2 linked regions of the Xenopus tropicalis genome follow. The protein of the gene in region 1 purifies or fractionates together with the protein of each later gene. This does not show direct contact. Links are inferred from orthologs where the notes say so. Each region holds a gene or a part of one and is shown on either strand. Other genes may lie near its edges.

Region 1 (7,594 bases):
CGTTGATGCGGTCCCCGATCCGACTGCCCCATTGCCGCCCACATAATCCGATCGTCTGGCCCCAGGGCCAAACGATCGGATTATTATTTTTTTTACCTAAATGGTCCCCGATATCGCCCAGCCGTAGGTGGGGATATCGGGGGAAGATCCGCTCGCTTGGCGACATCGCCAAGGGAGCGGATCTGCTCGTGTATGGCCAGCTTAAAACACCTAATCAACCCGTAGTTCTATAAAAGCTAGGGGCCCACTGGCTGTGAGTTGCCCTAAATGCTAAATATGTTTTCATACAGCTCTTATATTTTGTAAGCATGAAGAATACAAGAGTTGTTATAAGACTACAACTTCCAATGAACCCCTATATAGTTTTATAATCTTGGGGCCCAATGGCTGTGAATTACCCCTAATGCTAGGTATATTTTCATAGTGCTTTTGTCCTTTAAGCTGACCATATACAGCCAGATTTCTCTGTGATCCAATGACCAAACAACTAGTGTGTATATGGCCACTGCTGACTATTTGTCCACCCGCACCTGACCCTTACCCGCCCACTCCCAACACAAACCATGGATCCCACCCTGCCCCATCTGACATCATAAAGGGGGCAGAGCAGGCACGCACCTATAAATAAGATGCTGCTGGAGGCAGAAGAGCTTGGCCCAAACCCACCCGCAACCTGCTTCTGTTGTCATATGTAGATACATATGGACACTTAGATTGTAAGCTCTACGGGGCAGGGACCTCCTTCCTACTGTGTCTCATACCACATATATATATATATATATTTATTGTATTTATTTATTATATCACTTGTCCTCCCTGTGTGTAATTTTGTATTCTGTAAGATTGTACAGCGCTGCATACCCTTGTGGCGCTTTATAAATAAAGTTATACATACATATACATACACATGGATGGTGATAACTATATACATAAGTATATATGAAGACTAGGCTCTGTGTGACATTCTTGACATTATATATATATATATATATATATATATTAAATAACCTATTTTTTTTCCATGCCCCTCCCTCCCAGAAAGACAGAGTTTTATTACTTCTGCTCCTGGTTCGTCAGCCATTACTTACTGAAATAGCCAAGGATCCCATAGTAGAATGACCAATTATGATGTAGATGAGATCAGCATGGTCACATAGGGGTCCCTATAGAATATGAGGCACCAAAATGTGATCTAAATCAATGGCACTGGCCTATGACACCTACTGTAGTTCCACAAGTGACGCGCATGATGTATAATGTATGTGAAGTGCTGCAGAATATATCAGCACCATATAAAGAAAGGATAATAACAGCTGGGGTGTGGATAATTGCCTGTCCCTGTTGTAGTCTATAATATGGCTATTCATTTGCACACAAAGATCTTCCTTTAGCTATTTAAATGCACCGCCAGAGGAGAATATAATGTATTCACTTGGGTTTAGAGACCTCCTGAAGGAATCATTTGAATATTCCATTTCTATTTAAGGCACCAGGACAATTATTTACAGTAACCGTGCCACCATCAATACAAGGGAATAAAAACAAACACACACAAATGGCATTCCATTTTACTATATTTTTTATTTCAAACTTTTAAGTGCCACTATGAAAACCCAACAGTTCTAACCCAGTATGATCACAAAAAAACCCCAGAAAAAAAATAATGAAACCTACTCAACACAATAAGCCATCAAAGGAGGAGAAATATATGCATTATGAATCAGGGCCATTTCAGGGGCGGTAAATTACTTTAATACTGTACATCCATGATGAAACCAAAGAAAATTGCCAGGGTAATTATCACTGAGTGTGCAAATCCTTTTCCTTCTAGAAACATACAATGAGCAGTGTCTGAATGTGGCAACCTCTGCTTCATCCCAGGAATTATGTTCAACAATAAGAAAAGCTCTTTGCTTCCAATGAACAGAGAAGATACTCTTCCGAAATAATGTTATCTTCCCTTGTTATAGTGGTTTTGAGTTACGGCATATAAACATGTTAAGGTTTCTGGTACTGATTTTTCAATATTTGCTGGCTTGTTAAAGCAGAGCTGTTGTTAGTTCTTACTACTGAGTATTATTTTGACACTGATCATACCTAGATTAAATAATTATATCAACCCATGTATAGTTTTAAGGTGGGAAGTGATGTGTGGGTCAGCCCAAAACCTGCAACATCCACACAAGATTTGTAGGTTGTGAGTGGGTTCAGGCCAAGCTCTTTCTTCTGCCCTCCCTGCCTGTACTCTTATTACCCCTGCTTTCAACAGCCCTTACTTATAGGTGCACACATGCTCGGCCCCACCCTTTTTGTGACACCAGAGATGGGGCAGAATGGGTGTGGGTCTAGAGGTGGGTTGTCGAGTTTGGAGTGGTCATGTTAACTATTTTGTTGATAGGCACACTAACAGAGATGCATATTTCCTTTGCACCATGTCTCAGTACAGAAGAGTATGTACTCTCTTAAAGAGTTTGATAAATTTATTCTAATCTGTACGAACAACCCACAGTGCTGGTTTCAGTTCCTAATGGGTCGCCCGTATGGGGTATCTTTTTACTAGGAACTTGGCACAGCATGATATTAGTGATGTGTCTTCGATATTCTGCTGCCACCCTTCCAAATATTATAAGAATCCCCTATGTTTAGCAGGGATCATGTATGCCTCTGAAATCACATGACATGGGCAAGTATCTGGACCAGTAAAAATGCCCATAGAGCCAGCCCATTAATGGCATACAGCAAATCAATATAACTGGAAGGGAGTTTGTATCTGAGAGATTAACTTAGTGGCCACTTGGTTGTACTTAAAGGAAAAGTAGAATTGGTAACTGAAGATATGTGTCAACAAGGTAAGGCAATAATTCTATATTACAGAAAGAAAACAAACAGCATGGCTTTGTGAAAGAATAAAGGCTGCGGCACTCCAGATGTTTTGAATGCAAAAACCATTATTTTAATGATGGCTTTAATATTTTGGTGTCACTATAAGTACATATTTTTGCTGATACAAGCTACATGGACTTTGGCAACAGTGTACCCTGCACTGCATAATACTGAAATATTTCCCTCCTCTGTTGTAGATGGCAAATCCAGTGCTAGGAATTGTTAAAAGTGATGGTGGGCTTTAATGATCAATTTCCCTGATTCCTAAGCCTTGGATTCTTAGATTTTCATGCCCTGGGTAACATTTGCATGGCCCTGGAAAGTTAACTAAGTGCTGAGAGAGCCGGGCAATTCCAATATTTACTGCACGTCGGCTCTAAACGCAAACAGGTCTATCATTAACAAAAGGCAGCTGAAGATTCCAGCCCGGTGGAAGTTCAAAGAGTCCAAGAGAACCATGACTGTAACAGTACACTGAGAACTGTACTAAGATTGCAGTCTGTTGGCAATATCAGAGAAAAGCTGAAGGCTATAGTGTGAAAGATCAGCGGCCATGCTTGTGATCTCTACGCCTGAGCAAGCCGCTCCACTATCCGCCTGTATTCCTCCACCAGCTGCTGATAGCTCTCCTCTAACTGCTCATGCTGCGTGTTTAGATCGATCTGGTTCATCTGGTTGGTCAGCTCTTCTGGCCGGAGGCACTGTTTCATCTTAGCCATCTCTCTCTGATTTTTCTGTGTAAACAAAGTTAAACAGTACAAATAATTATTTACCAATATACACAAAGCCACAAATAAATCCCCAGTTCTTTGAAAGAGGTCAACTTTTTAATCTGTCCTCCTAAATCTGAATAGGGATCGGCCTGCTTAGTCTGATAGCTGCAAACATAGTGGACCAATACAGGACCGGATCTAGTGGGCACGCAAATAAAACCCCTTTGCCAATTATAACATGATTCGATCCGATTATCAGCAACAGGGATGTCAACCTGGATCTGAAGGGCCACCCCTGTTCTGCCCCAGCCCTGCCTACTACTGTGCTCCCTTTTTCATTGCTTCAGATGGATTATGGAGGACTTTGTCTGAATATTCTATGAAAAGTGCAAGTTAGGTTTTGGGTGTGTATTATCTCTAGCAGGTGACTGAACTCTTCCTGTGGGCGATCAAGTGAGCGGCGTTTAAATCAAGGTGACTCCCCAAAAAACTGAAATCCATCTGCAAAACTGTTATCTTTCTGCATCATTTTAAATCCTGGCAGGAGGGACTAAAACATTAATGATACAAATTTTAAAAACTTCTACACAGCTTACACACAGCATACAGGAACTACATAACCCACAATGCATTGCACTGTGATGTTCCTTTCCTTATTAACATCACGTGTGCAGGGAATTGTGGGATTAGGAGGATGCAGGCTGAAGGCAGGCTGAGGACAGTCGACTACTGTTACATTTTATTTGAGTCTTAAAGTAGTCAGCCAGATCAGCAGGGGAACAGGGGTTGCATTCTCCTGTGTTCGGCTCTTACATGCGCCTGTGTCAGTACAACCCCATAAAAATGAATGGGGTGTGGTTCTCCCAGAAACACTCCCCTGTATGACCCCCTAAAGGGGTTTTTCCCCTTAAAATAACTTTTAATATACTGTAGAGAGTGCTATTCTAACACAATTTGCAATTGGTCTTCATTTATATTATTTGTGTTTTTTAAATTATTTTGCTTCTTGTTCAACTCTCCAGTCTGGAATTTCCGCACCTATTTGTCTAAATTACCCTAGCAACCAGACATTGGTTTGAATGAGAGACTGGAATATGAATAGGAGAGGGACTAAATAGAATAATGAGTAATAAAAAGTCACAATAACAATAGTTTTTGGCTGATGTGGGTCAGTGACACCATTTGACAGCTGAGAAGAGTCAGAAGGCAGTTGCAAATAATTTAAAAACTATGCTAAATAAAAAATGAAGACCAACTGAAACATTACTAAGAATTGGCAACTCTATAACATACTAAAAGTTAACGTTATACATTTTGTTCTATTCAACAATAATCTACAAAAAATAAATCTTTGTTTTGCAAAAGGTGCCTTATATCACCAAGATTTACCCCATTACCCCCCCAGATCCTCTGCTGATATTCATTAGTACACAGACACAAACTTATGCTGAGTAAAATATAAGAATGCCAAGAACACATTCCCTAAATACATACACTCGGTACAGATGTGACAGGAAATGGGGCTGTTTCCTCTTAAAATTACATCACTTAATCACTTGTCAGACGACAGTATGGGAGAACAGGACTGTTTTTCTATGGGTTCCTGATTGCGCAGGCAGGGAAAACATCTCTGGAAACTATTTACTTGTTGTGGGATAGTTAAAAATAACACTTTTCTAAATGAGTGAAAAATAAAAATAAGTGTGACTGTTACATTTTCATGTCTACAAGACAACTATGCCAAAAACAAGCAGTTCAAAGGCCAATTAGCTGTTGTTTTTAGCTAAATGAAGGCAGTTTGTAACTGGGTATTGCCTCCAGTTCAGTGTTAATAGGATACTATTTGTGCAATACATATAAGAAGTGCCCTAGATGTGCAGTACTGCTATATGTAATGTTGAGTTTAATCACATGCACATATTGGGGGTTATGTAATAAAAAGCACTAAGTTTCCCTGGGTGCAGTAACCTATACCAACCAATCAACAGGTAGCATTTACTGGTCACCTGTTTCAAAGCAAAAATCTTATTGGTAGCTATGGGTTACAAACTTAGTGCCTTTTATTACATATGGGGAATTGTGCCTTATAAAGGGAATGGTCTGTGTGTGATCTCACCTTAGGTTACTAAATCTAAAGTATTTATTCTGTTTGATCCCTATGTTTTTATAAAGGAAAATAATAAAGGACTTTTATTTCAACCCACTACTTCCTGGAGAATACATATTAGGGAAAAAGATCAGGTAAGAGGATTACTTTTTGTAATGTACCAAACAAACAACAAAGCATAATATATCTTTTATACCATGTCAGTATTTTTATCAACTAGCAAGAGATCATTTTGTTTGATGATGAGACTAATCAAGCTTGCAGTGCATGGTACACTAAGAACAAGGGATTGCACCTATCAAAAAGCACAAAAGTTCAGGCATAAAAGATCTTGCCTTCTTGAGAAGATGAATGTAAGGCACTAGGCATTGCCCGTGGGGCTTTGTTCACATGATCGCTGGCCCTTAACAAACACTGATGCTTTTATTTGGTTTTGTACTATGCACTTGGGGGTGACCTTTGAAGCTAAGAAAGATGTTTACTCAACAGTCTGCTCTAATAAGAGTGATCGCTCTGCTTTGTATAATGTACAAAGCTTCTTCCTGCATAAAGAACAGGGAGAACTGCAGTGATAAAATAATAAACAGATGTAAGGGCTCTCACACAACTCAGTGGACCTTCCTATAACGAGAACCTCCTTAATCATTTGCTTCCAGGATTATGCTAAATATAGCATTTGTAATATTTTAAAGAATTTATGTCCATTTTTAAATAGATGTACTGGTAACCATACTTGTTTCGTTGATTAATGGGCTTTTTCCTTTCTTGCGGAGAAGATTAATGAGGGGTTGGTTACGCAGGGTATATATCTTATGTCTCCCACCATAGTGTTTGCATCTTCATCTCTGGAAATCTTACATGGCTGCTTAGAAAGCTGTGTACATGAAGCACTATTGACCAGGGTAGTACTGAGGTGTGTGAGGCCCACCAGGGCTGCTACCCCAGGGGCACCCACAACCCCTCAGGGGCCCCCTCTGTCCACCCACTCACCTACCACCAGCCCCTCTGTCTGCATTTGTACCTTATACTTTGCCGCAATTGGAGGAGGGAGGGCAAAGGGGAAGCAGCAGGGATGGGGTCGGTGGGGCCCAGTGCGTTTTCTCCCGATGTCCCAGTGTGACCCTGCTATTGACACTAATTCCCAGGCAGCTGGGCAGCTTGAGAATTCTTTGCGTCCCCACTAGTTACACTGCTACAAGGGACCAAGTCCACATCTGTACAGCATAGTCCCAGTGAAGCACATTAATCAAGTGCAAAAGTAAGGAAAAAGCACATTAATCTGCTAGAGGCATAAGGTTGCCAATTTATCCTCACCTGCTCATACAGATGTGTAGTGTCAGGACTATACGGGATCCAAAGCAGTCTGCTATATGCATATAAATAAACTGCTTATAGCCATCTGAGAACTTTATGTGGCTTGTTATAAATGTATTTACAATATAAATAAATAATATATGCTTATCTTTATAGTCAGGCCCTCTCCTATTCATATTCTAAAGCAAGCAACTGCCTGGTTGCCGGGATTTCATATAGCAAGAAGTGGCAAATAAAATGACTGTGGGGAAAGCATACTCTATTTGGCTTAAATAAATTGAGAAAACTCCTGGACACTGGATTTGCAACTCGTTACTACTATAGGGTGACTAAGGCAGGGTTGTCCAAATGGAGGCCTAAGAGCCGTATGTAGCCCTCTAAAGAATTTTTATGCCCCAGTCTGTTCAAAGGCTCCTTGGACTCTACTGTACGACATTATTTAAATGTAATCTGGCCCTCAAACATGCTGCATGCGAAATGATCATAACCATTACATGTAATAAATTTAACAGAACTGGTCTAAGGTGTACCTCTGGTGGTCCCTCTAATGTGCCCAGTCTTTGGACCTAAATTCCTT
Region 2 (8,065 bases), on another chromosome or scaffold:
AGTGTTAAAAAACAATATGCAATATTATGGGATGCCAGACTTTAAACATGGGTATACTTTTCAGCCAATTAAGTAGCTGCTAAAGGCAATTGGATGCAGATTATTCTTTAGGTGTTTCATAGCAAGGGAGTAAATAATTATTAAGACTGGCTAGGATATGGGACAAGAACCCATAGGTTTGCAGCCATCCTCCTTAACCATTAGGCCAGGAGAGCAGCTGGGGAGTTCTTGTATCTCTGATTTAATCTCATCCATATTTATTCTCAAGTTTTCATCATGCTGTTCCATCACAACCCAGCAGCTTTATTGGTCAGAGCCGACTTATTTGAACCCTTCTTTGACCTCACTTTCTTGCCTGAGCATCGACCTCTGACAGCTTGTCCCTAGTTCTTGTTCCCCTTGCTCTTGCCTGTTTCGGTCTTTTAACCCTTTCCATCCTGCTTCTGCCTATCCTGACTTGTCAAATAGCTAGTCCTTGCCTTAAGGGTTCACTGCCCATCACATCCAAAGATATATAAATAAAGCCCTGAGGTTGTACTAGAATTTTACCTTTTCTCTATACCATGTTTCTTCTCCCATTATTAACACACCCCTTCCTAGTCTTTTACCTCATATCCCATTCCCTGAACATTTATCAGTCCAACTGTATCCCTTCTTGCCTTCCTTCTGTAACTTTAACCCTACTCTTACACCTCACTCCACAATCCTTTGTGTCCATCTTCCAACCTCTTTCTATCTGCCATTCTCTTCCCTACCCCACATAAGCTATTATCTGCACCTTTCCTTAACCCCTTTTGTTATTCTCTCCTGTCTTCCCTCTCTTGCTTTTCCCTTTCCATGTCATGCTCCGCAGTGTACATCCTTCCAGGGCCAGTGTCTCAAATATCCACAAGTACAGACTGGCCCATGTTATAAACAGTGCTTCAGAGAAATACCACTTTGTCCAGCTCAGGCTACAATATTCTGAGGGTGTTGGGGGCATAAAATGCCTTAGTCATAGAGGTGGTGCAGACAATAACTTTAGCTTTCCATTCAGCACTACCTAGATGTCACTGCACATCTAACTTCTCCCCTCCCTCCTCCTCACCTAACTGTGTAGCCAGTGCATGGGCATCTGGTCCCCCAGTCAGTCACATAAACAAGATTTTGGGGTGATACAAAGCTTGCCTTCATAACACGGTCCACAAAATGGCGCCTGCCTGCTTGCTTTGATTGAGAAATTCCAAGACGGAAGGAAACAAAATGTATATTATTTATATAGAGTAAGTACAGTTTATTTTGCTCAACTAACAATATAGAAAACAATTTGGACTTATTTCTTAGGGTGACAGGTCCCCTTTAATCCTTGACTAGACATAGCAGAGCCATTTCCCTCTCACACAGCATTAGAAACGATGAATTATGGCGTGAGCGCCTATAAAGGCTGAGGCGGTTACATCCGCCTCTAACAGCCATCTTGCGTTCCTTCTATCATTTTGTTGCACAGCAATTCCCAGAATTCCCTACAGAGGCTGGGGGGGGGGGGGTTAAACAAGCCTGATAGAAATATAAAACTTTATAGCGCAGCCTTTGTTTCTGTATGTATGTATATCTTTATAAAGTGCTACTTATGTACGCAGTGCTGTACAGTAGAATACATTAATACAAACAGGGGGTTATTAAGATAATAGATAAATACACAGTATAACAATAAATACAGATAAATACAAGATACAGTTGCAATAAGATAAGAGTCGAGGACACAAGAGGAAGGAGGTCCCTGCCCCGTAGAGCTTACAATCTATATGGGAGGGGTAACTTACAGACACAAATAGGCAAATGTAAGTGCTGTAGGTCACAGTGGGTGACACTTCAATATAAGTGCCAGTTCCCAGTATAAATACATATACTGCCCACACTGCTGAAGCAAGGTTGCCACCTAAGCAGTAAAAATGATGCTTGATGCCAACCTTATTAATAGGGAATATGCACACAAATAAATGAAAGCCTGTATTTTTTTTATCCAGAAAAAATGCTTAAGGTGTAAATAATGGTTTAGTGCAACAAAACAAATATATGGCAGGAAAATGTTTACCAGTAAGTACCCTACTCGGCCGCCCCTAGTCTGTTTCCGGTTCCGTTACACCCCAGCTTCACAAGTGCGTCATGGTATTTATCAGCGCCCCATTACCTACCCCACGCATTCTTACTTCCCGCGCAATACCTGCCTATCCGGAAGTTGCGTCAGCCTAAGCCGGAAGATAATGCCCGACGCGGGAACGAACGTCAAACGGCGCGGGAAGCAAACACCGTGCTCCAATCAAACGTGAGAGCTACTGACAAGCCCCGACCATGTGACCAAAGCTGGTAGAATCAGCGGCCATCTTTAATGCTGGCAACGACTTCGAACGGCTTTTAGACGTAGGAAGCGAATCCGTTTAATGTACTGGTTTGGTAAGGCAGACTCGGCTGTACGTGGGGGAGAGCCATTATACCCCTGTTTACAGGCTTGCATAGATAGGGGGTGATTATGCGTTTCACACTATCCAGAAGCGTCATTGGTTGTTGCTTGACGGTGAGAGGGAGGGGCTTGCGGCTCAGAGGGGGCGGGGCTGGGGGGCGCGTTTGGAGTGAGGTTGTAAGCGAGGCGCGGGAGACAAAACGGAGGGCGGGAAAGAAGGAGCGGGCTGTTTGTGACGGTTGTGTGGGACGGAGCGGTACAGCCGGGCATACCGGGGAAGGAGGAGACGCCACAACAGGTGAGTGCTGTTTCCTTTCTACTCCGGGCTGTCAGCCCACTCTTACTCCCCCCATGCCCACCTTGCTGGTGAACTACAAGTCTCTGTAGAATATTAACTCGGGGGCCACAGGCTGAACTAATAGTCCCTACCTGTGTGTCCATAATCCCCATTTCCCTGTACGTGTTTACTCACAGGGGCGTGGCTAATGTGTGCCTATAACTTATATAGGAATATACTTGTATAGGGAGCCCTCAGTCTTGCACTTGGCCAACATCCGAAAATAGTTTAATGCTCAACATACAAATTGTATCACTAGTTGGCATAAAGGCTTGCACTTTATTTCTGTTAAGCTTCTGTGTGTCTGTGGCTGCTGGGAGTTGTAGTTCAGCCCTGGGGGCTGCCTGATAGGGGTAACTAACTGATAGGGGTAACTAACTGATAGGGATAACTAACTGATAGGGATAACTAACTGATAGGGATAACTAACTGATAGGGATAACTAACTGATAGGGATAACTAACTGATAGGGATACTTAGTTATGGCTTTGTACAGCTCTGCAGTATGTGTTGGTGCTTATAATAACCTGTTACTATTATTATTGTGAGCCTCCTCCTGTAACCGGTTATTGGATGAAAGTCCTGTCTGAGCCCAGTGTGACACCTATATAGAAATAATTGCTACTTCGGTTAACATTGCTTTCATTGGAATGTGAGTAGCATATTTAGGGGATCCCATTGTTAGTATTGGGGCTCATGTTGGCAGTAGCCAAGTTGGGGCCCGTGGGCCAGATCTAAAGCTGGCCATAGACGCACCAATAACATCGTACGAAACCTGGTTTCGTACGAAATTCAGTGCGTTTATGGCAAGTCGGCGAGTCGACCGGTATCGCAGGAAGCTGCTGATATCTGTCGACTCGCCGACCAGCAACGTCAGAAGATTTTGATCGGGGGCCATAGAAGGCGCCTGACCAAAATCTCCCTTCGGCGCTGAATCAGCAGAAGGAGGTAGAAATCCAATTGTTTCTACCTCCTTACCTGCAGTTTCAGCGCTGAAGGTTAGTGGCGGATCTGACAATCTTTCCTGCGACCGATGGTTGCACAAAAGATCGCAGATCGCCACGTGTGTGGCCACCTTAAAGCTGGCCATACACGTGGCGATCTGACGATGTTTCGTTCAACCATCGGTCGCACGAAACATCGTCAGATCCGCCACACACTATTCAGGGCTGAATCGGCAGGTAAGGAGGTAGAAACAATAGGATTTCTACCTCCTTCTGCCGATTCAGAGCTGAAGGGAGATTTTGGTCAGGCGCCATAAAATTTTCAAACTGGTCCGGTCGGCGAGTCGGCCGATATCAGCAGCTTCCTGCGATATCGGTCGACTCGCCGACATACCATACACGCACTGAATATCATACGAAACGAGGTTTCGTACGATATTATCGGTGCGTGTATGGCCACCTTAAGGGATCTATGTGCCCCCCACGCTCCTCCCAAAGGCCCCATTGGCCCTCAGACATGTGCTATAAGAAGTAACTGTCCCACTGCCTGTAGCGAGTTGAATGTGGCTGGTCATTGGGGTCATTTCACAGTATATCGTACCCACAGGGCTTCCCTTTGTTGCTATAATATGCATACACCAGTAACTCTACCTTGTAATGGGGGGGATCTGAACATGTAATGCATGCTGTAATATGATAACAAGGCTTGAGTAGGAGACATCATAGAATTGTCTGTTAACCTGACAGAACAGTGGGAACAGCACTGCCGGCAGCGCAAACAGACGGCTATTGGGCAGCATTAAAACTTCCCGTGCCATTGCTTCCTACTAGAGAAACGCTCAGTTCAGGAGTTGGCCAAATCCAGGCACCTTTTGCAGGATTCAGCTAAATACTTGGGGGAATATTTATCATGCTGTGTAAAAAGTGAAGTGAAGCATTACCGGTGATGTTGCCCAGGGCAACCAATCAGCAATTAGATTTCAACAGTTAGAAAACCAAAGCAAAACATCTGATTGGCTGCTATGAGCAACATCACTGGTAATGTTTCACTCCACTCTTTACACAGCATGATAAATATACCCCTAGGTGTTCATTCAACCCCTTAGTTGTGTGCCTTTAAAGCTTTGGGCAGCTAAGTGTGACATGTGTTTTTAGTTTATGGAAGGTGACGTGGTTTGAATTTTTCCCATATTTTAAATTCGGTGTTCGTCTAAATGCAGAAATGATTGACTCGATGCATGGCAGGATCTCACTGTAATGTGTCTGCGACTGATTCCAAGGAGTGAAGAGGATATTGAGCGGAATAGAGAGGAGTCCCCTGTTGAGCAAACTGGGAAATCCAGCGACTGATTTGTGGGGTGCACAGCCGAGCTTATTTCTAATTGACTTTCAGATATCAGGATGAATGGGGGGGAATAGAGGCTAAGGAAAGGGTTTGTGCAGTGTAAGGGTGAAGACACACAGAGCTACTAGTTGCAGCAACTTGTCGTGGCTACTAAAATAGACAATGCTGATCATTTACTGATAGTCTGTGTGTTAGCAGAGGCAATTCTCAGTATTGTCTATGTCAGGGGATTTTCTGGAGTTTAGTTGCCATTAAAAATAGCTGCTACTAGTAGCTCAGTGTGTCTTCACCCTTACACACACATAGGCTTCTTGTATTTCTGTTAGAGAAGGGCAAGTACAGAGTATAATAAGTGCCAGAAATGCAATTCAGAATGCAGTTTCTCACAGAAAGACTGCCATACCTTTTCACTTAAAGATATATGCTCTTGAAATGCTTTTCTTTAGGAACTGCTGATTTTCAAACTTATTTCCTATTTGTTTCTAGTAACCTATTTAACCCTTGCAAAAAAATTAATGACCAGATTTTATAGGTCTCTCTCTTCCTGTTTGATTGTAAACACGTGTTACATCTCTTTTAGCCCTAGTGACATAACATCGCTGGCATTTACAGCTTGGGAGGCATCATGGCAAAAGTACAGATTCTCAACATGGTCGTGCTGGATAACCCCTGCCCCTTCCACAACCCTTTCCAATTTGAAATTACTTTTGAATGCATAGAGGACCTGCCAGATGGTGAGTGACTGTTATTCTCATCAAGCATGCCTTTTTAGATGTTCCCAACATGGGAGATTTAAGATGGCCATACATGGTCCTGTTCTAGCTGCCGATATCTGTCCTTTACACTGATTTGGCAGCTTATCTGCCTGTGTATGGGCACGAACAACGGGCCTAACCGACCGACATTGGGCCTGAAATTGGCTAGATCTCGATCGGGCAGGTTTGAGTGGGTGGGTATATATTAAAGGTTGTTGTTCACCTTTAAACTAACTTTTAGTATGACATAGACATTGATATTCTGGGACAATTTGCACAGTGGTTTTTGGTTATTTAGCTGGGTTCACATGCTCTCCAGTTTAGAATTTCAGCAGCTCTCTGTTTGCTAGCAACTTGTTTACCTTAGTAACCAGGCAATGGTTAAATGAGAGACTGGAGTATAAAAAGGAAAGGGGTTCAATAGAAAGCTAAGGAATAAAAAGTAACAAATATATAAGATCAGTTGTGAGCCCTCAGAGCAATAGTTGGCTGCCCCAAGTTCATTGAACCCCATTTGAAAGCTTTTAAGATGTAGAATAGAAAAGCAAAGAATACAAAAGCTATACAAAATAAATGATGATGATGATGAACTGCAAAGTTGCTAGGAATAGGACATTCTGTAACATATTAAAAGTTAAAGTAAAGGTGAACCACCCCTTTATGGGGATTGTAAAAATAATATAATACAATTTTGCCTCATAAAAAAAAAAATATACATCTAAGCAACTTTTTAATAGTTGTAAAAGTAATAGCTATTGAAGGCAGTACCTTGTTCTGACTATTGAAACTCTTGTAAAAGCCAACACCTTCTGCAAAGTGATGTGCAGGCTGGCTCGGACCCACAGGTTCTGGCCGACATTGGCACAGCAGAAGTGGGTTGCAGACGGGTTCAGGGCGAGCTCTTAGACTGCCTTGAGCACGCGCCTGCTCTGACCCCTCTGTGATGTCGGAGATTGGAAAGGCGTGGATCTATAAATATATATGGATCTGTGGATTGGGAGCAGATGTGTTAGGGTTGATGCGAGGGGGGTAGGAGCTGCCTTGAGGTGGGGGGCCCTGGTGGGCCCCTGACACCCCAGTCTGACATTGGTTGAGAATATCAAGAGACACTTGCTGCTTCAATAGCAATTACATTTACAAGTAAGTTGAAAACCGCTGAAAATCTGTCAGATACATTTTGACATGATAGGAGAGTTTGTCACTTGCACCCCCCCTGGCTCTCCAGCGATAGAGTTTGAGGCTCCCTCGGCACCCTCCACTCGACCACCCCTCAACTCAAGGAAAGAAATGAGCGCTGGCAAATAGCAGGACAAGCCCTTGCAAATGTTATTGCGGAAGTGCAACTTTTCAAGGCAAATTGGGTTGAGAAAGGCATTCTTTGTCCTGAAACGTTGCACTTCTACAATAACATTTGCAAGGGCTTGTCCCTTTCCTTGTACAGCTAAATATTAAAACATTGCTCTAAAGCAGGGTTCCCCAACCTTTTTTACCTGTGAGCCACATTCAAATGTAAAAAGAGTTGGAGAGCAACACAAGCATGAAACATCTTCCTGGGGTTACAAATAGGGGCTCTGATTGGCTATTTGGTAGGCCCTGTGTGGACTGGCAGCCTACATGAGGCTCTGTTTGGCAGTACATATGGTATTTATGCAACCAAAACTTGGCCAAAAGCCAGGAATTCAAAAATAAACATCTGCTTTGAGGCCACTGGGAGCAACATCCAAGGGACTGGAGAGCAACATGTTGCTCACGAGCTACTGGTTGGGGATCACTGCTCTCTAAAGGTTTCGACCTAACTGAATCCTGCAAAAATGGCTGTGGTTTTGGTTGACACCTTGAATTCAGTGCATCCCTGTTATGCATTTATATATTTTTGACAATTGTGGTGTCAGAGCTCAAATGGCCAGTATTGAGCCCAGCAGTGAAAATGAGCACAATGAATGAATGAATGAATTACATTTTTATTTCATGTGAAAAACCAATGCTCCTACATAATTAGATGCCATTGTAGTCAGAAAAAAGCTCCCATGTATGTGTGCATGTATAATAATGCAGTACTGGGGCAAGCAGTCAGATAGGGCTCCTAAAGATCAGTTCTCACAGTGCAGTTTGTGGTGGGCAATGTTAAGGTTTCAAGAACATCCCCAGTTTTAATGGTTACACTCTGGGCAGCTTGGTCACTGCAGATGTCACATACAGTATATGATGGTATGCGTGCTGTTTCAGCTTAGGCTATTCTAATTA

The links. Proteins that work in one complex are often made in the same cells at the same time.
Region 2: the proteins of hat1 (region 1) and asf1b purify together in Homo sapiens (affinity purification with mass spectrometry; 6 studies listed by BioGRID and IntAct, counting the BioPlex papers as one, with this or other methods). This does not show direct contact. The link is inferred for Xenopus tropicalis from reciprocal best matches to the Homo sapiens genes HAT1 and ASF1B.

The regions. Positions count from the first base shown.
Region 1 is NC_030685.2:67,564,296-67,571,889, forward strand, and holds the end of hat1 (histone acetyltransferase type B catalytic subunit), read right to left. Parts: intron 3,618-7,594; coding exon 3,450-3,617; 3' UTR 2,931-3,449; downstream 1-2,930. UniProt on the Homo sapiens protein: Histone acetyltransferase that plays a role in different biological processes including cell cycle progression, glucose metabolism, histone production or DNA damage repair. Coordinates histone production and acetylation via H4 promoter binding.
Region 2 is NC_030679.2:134,224,715-134,232,779, reverse strand, and holds the start of asf1b (histone chaperone asf1b), read left to right. Parts: upstream 1-2,689; 5' UTR 2,690-2,738; intron 2,739-5,646; 5' UTR 5,647-5,691; coding exon 5,692-5,800; intron 5,801-8,065. UniProt on the Homo sapiens protein: Histone chaperone that facilitates histone deposition and histone exchange and removal during nucleosome assembly and disassembly. Cooperates with chromatin assembly factor 1 (CAF-1) to promote replication-dependent chromatin assembly.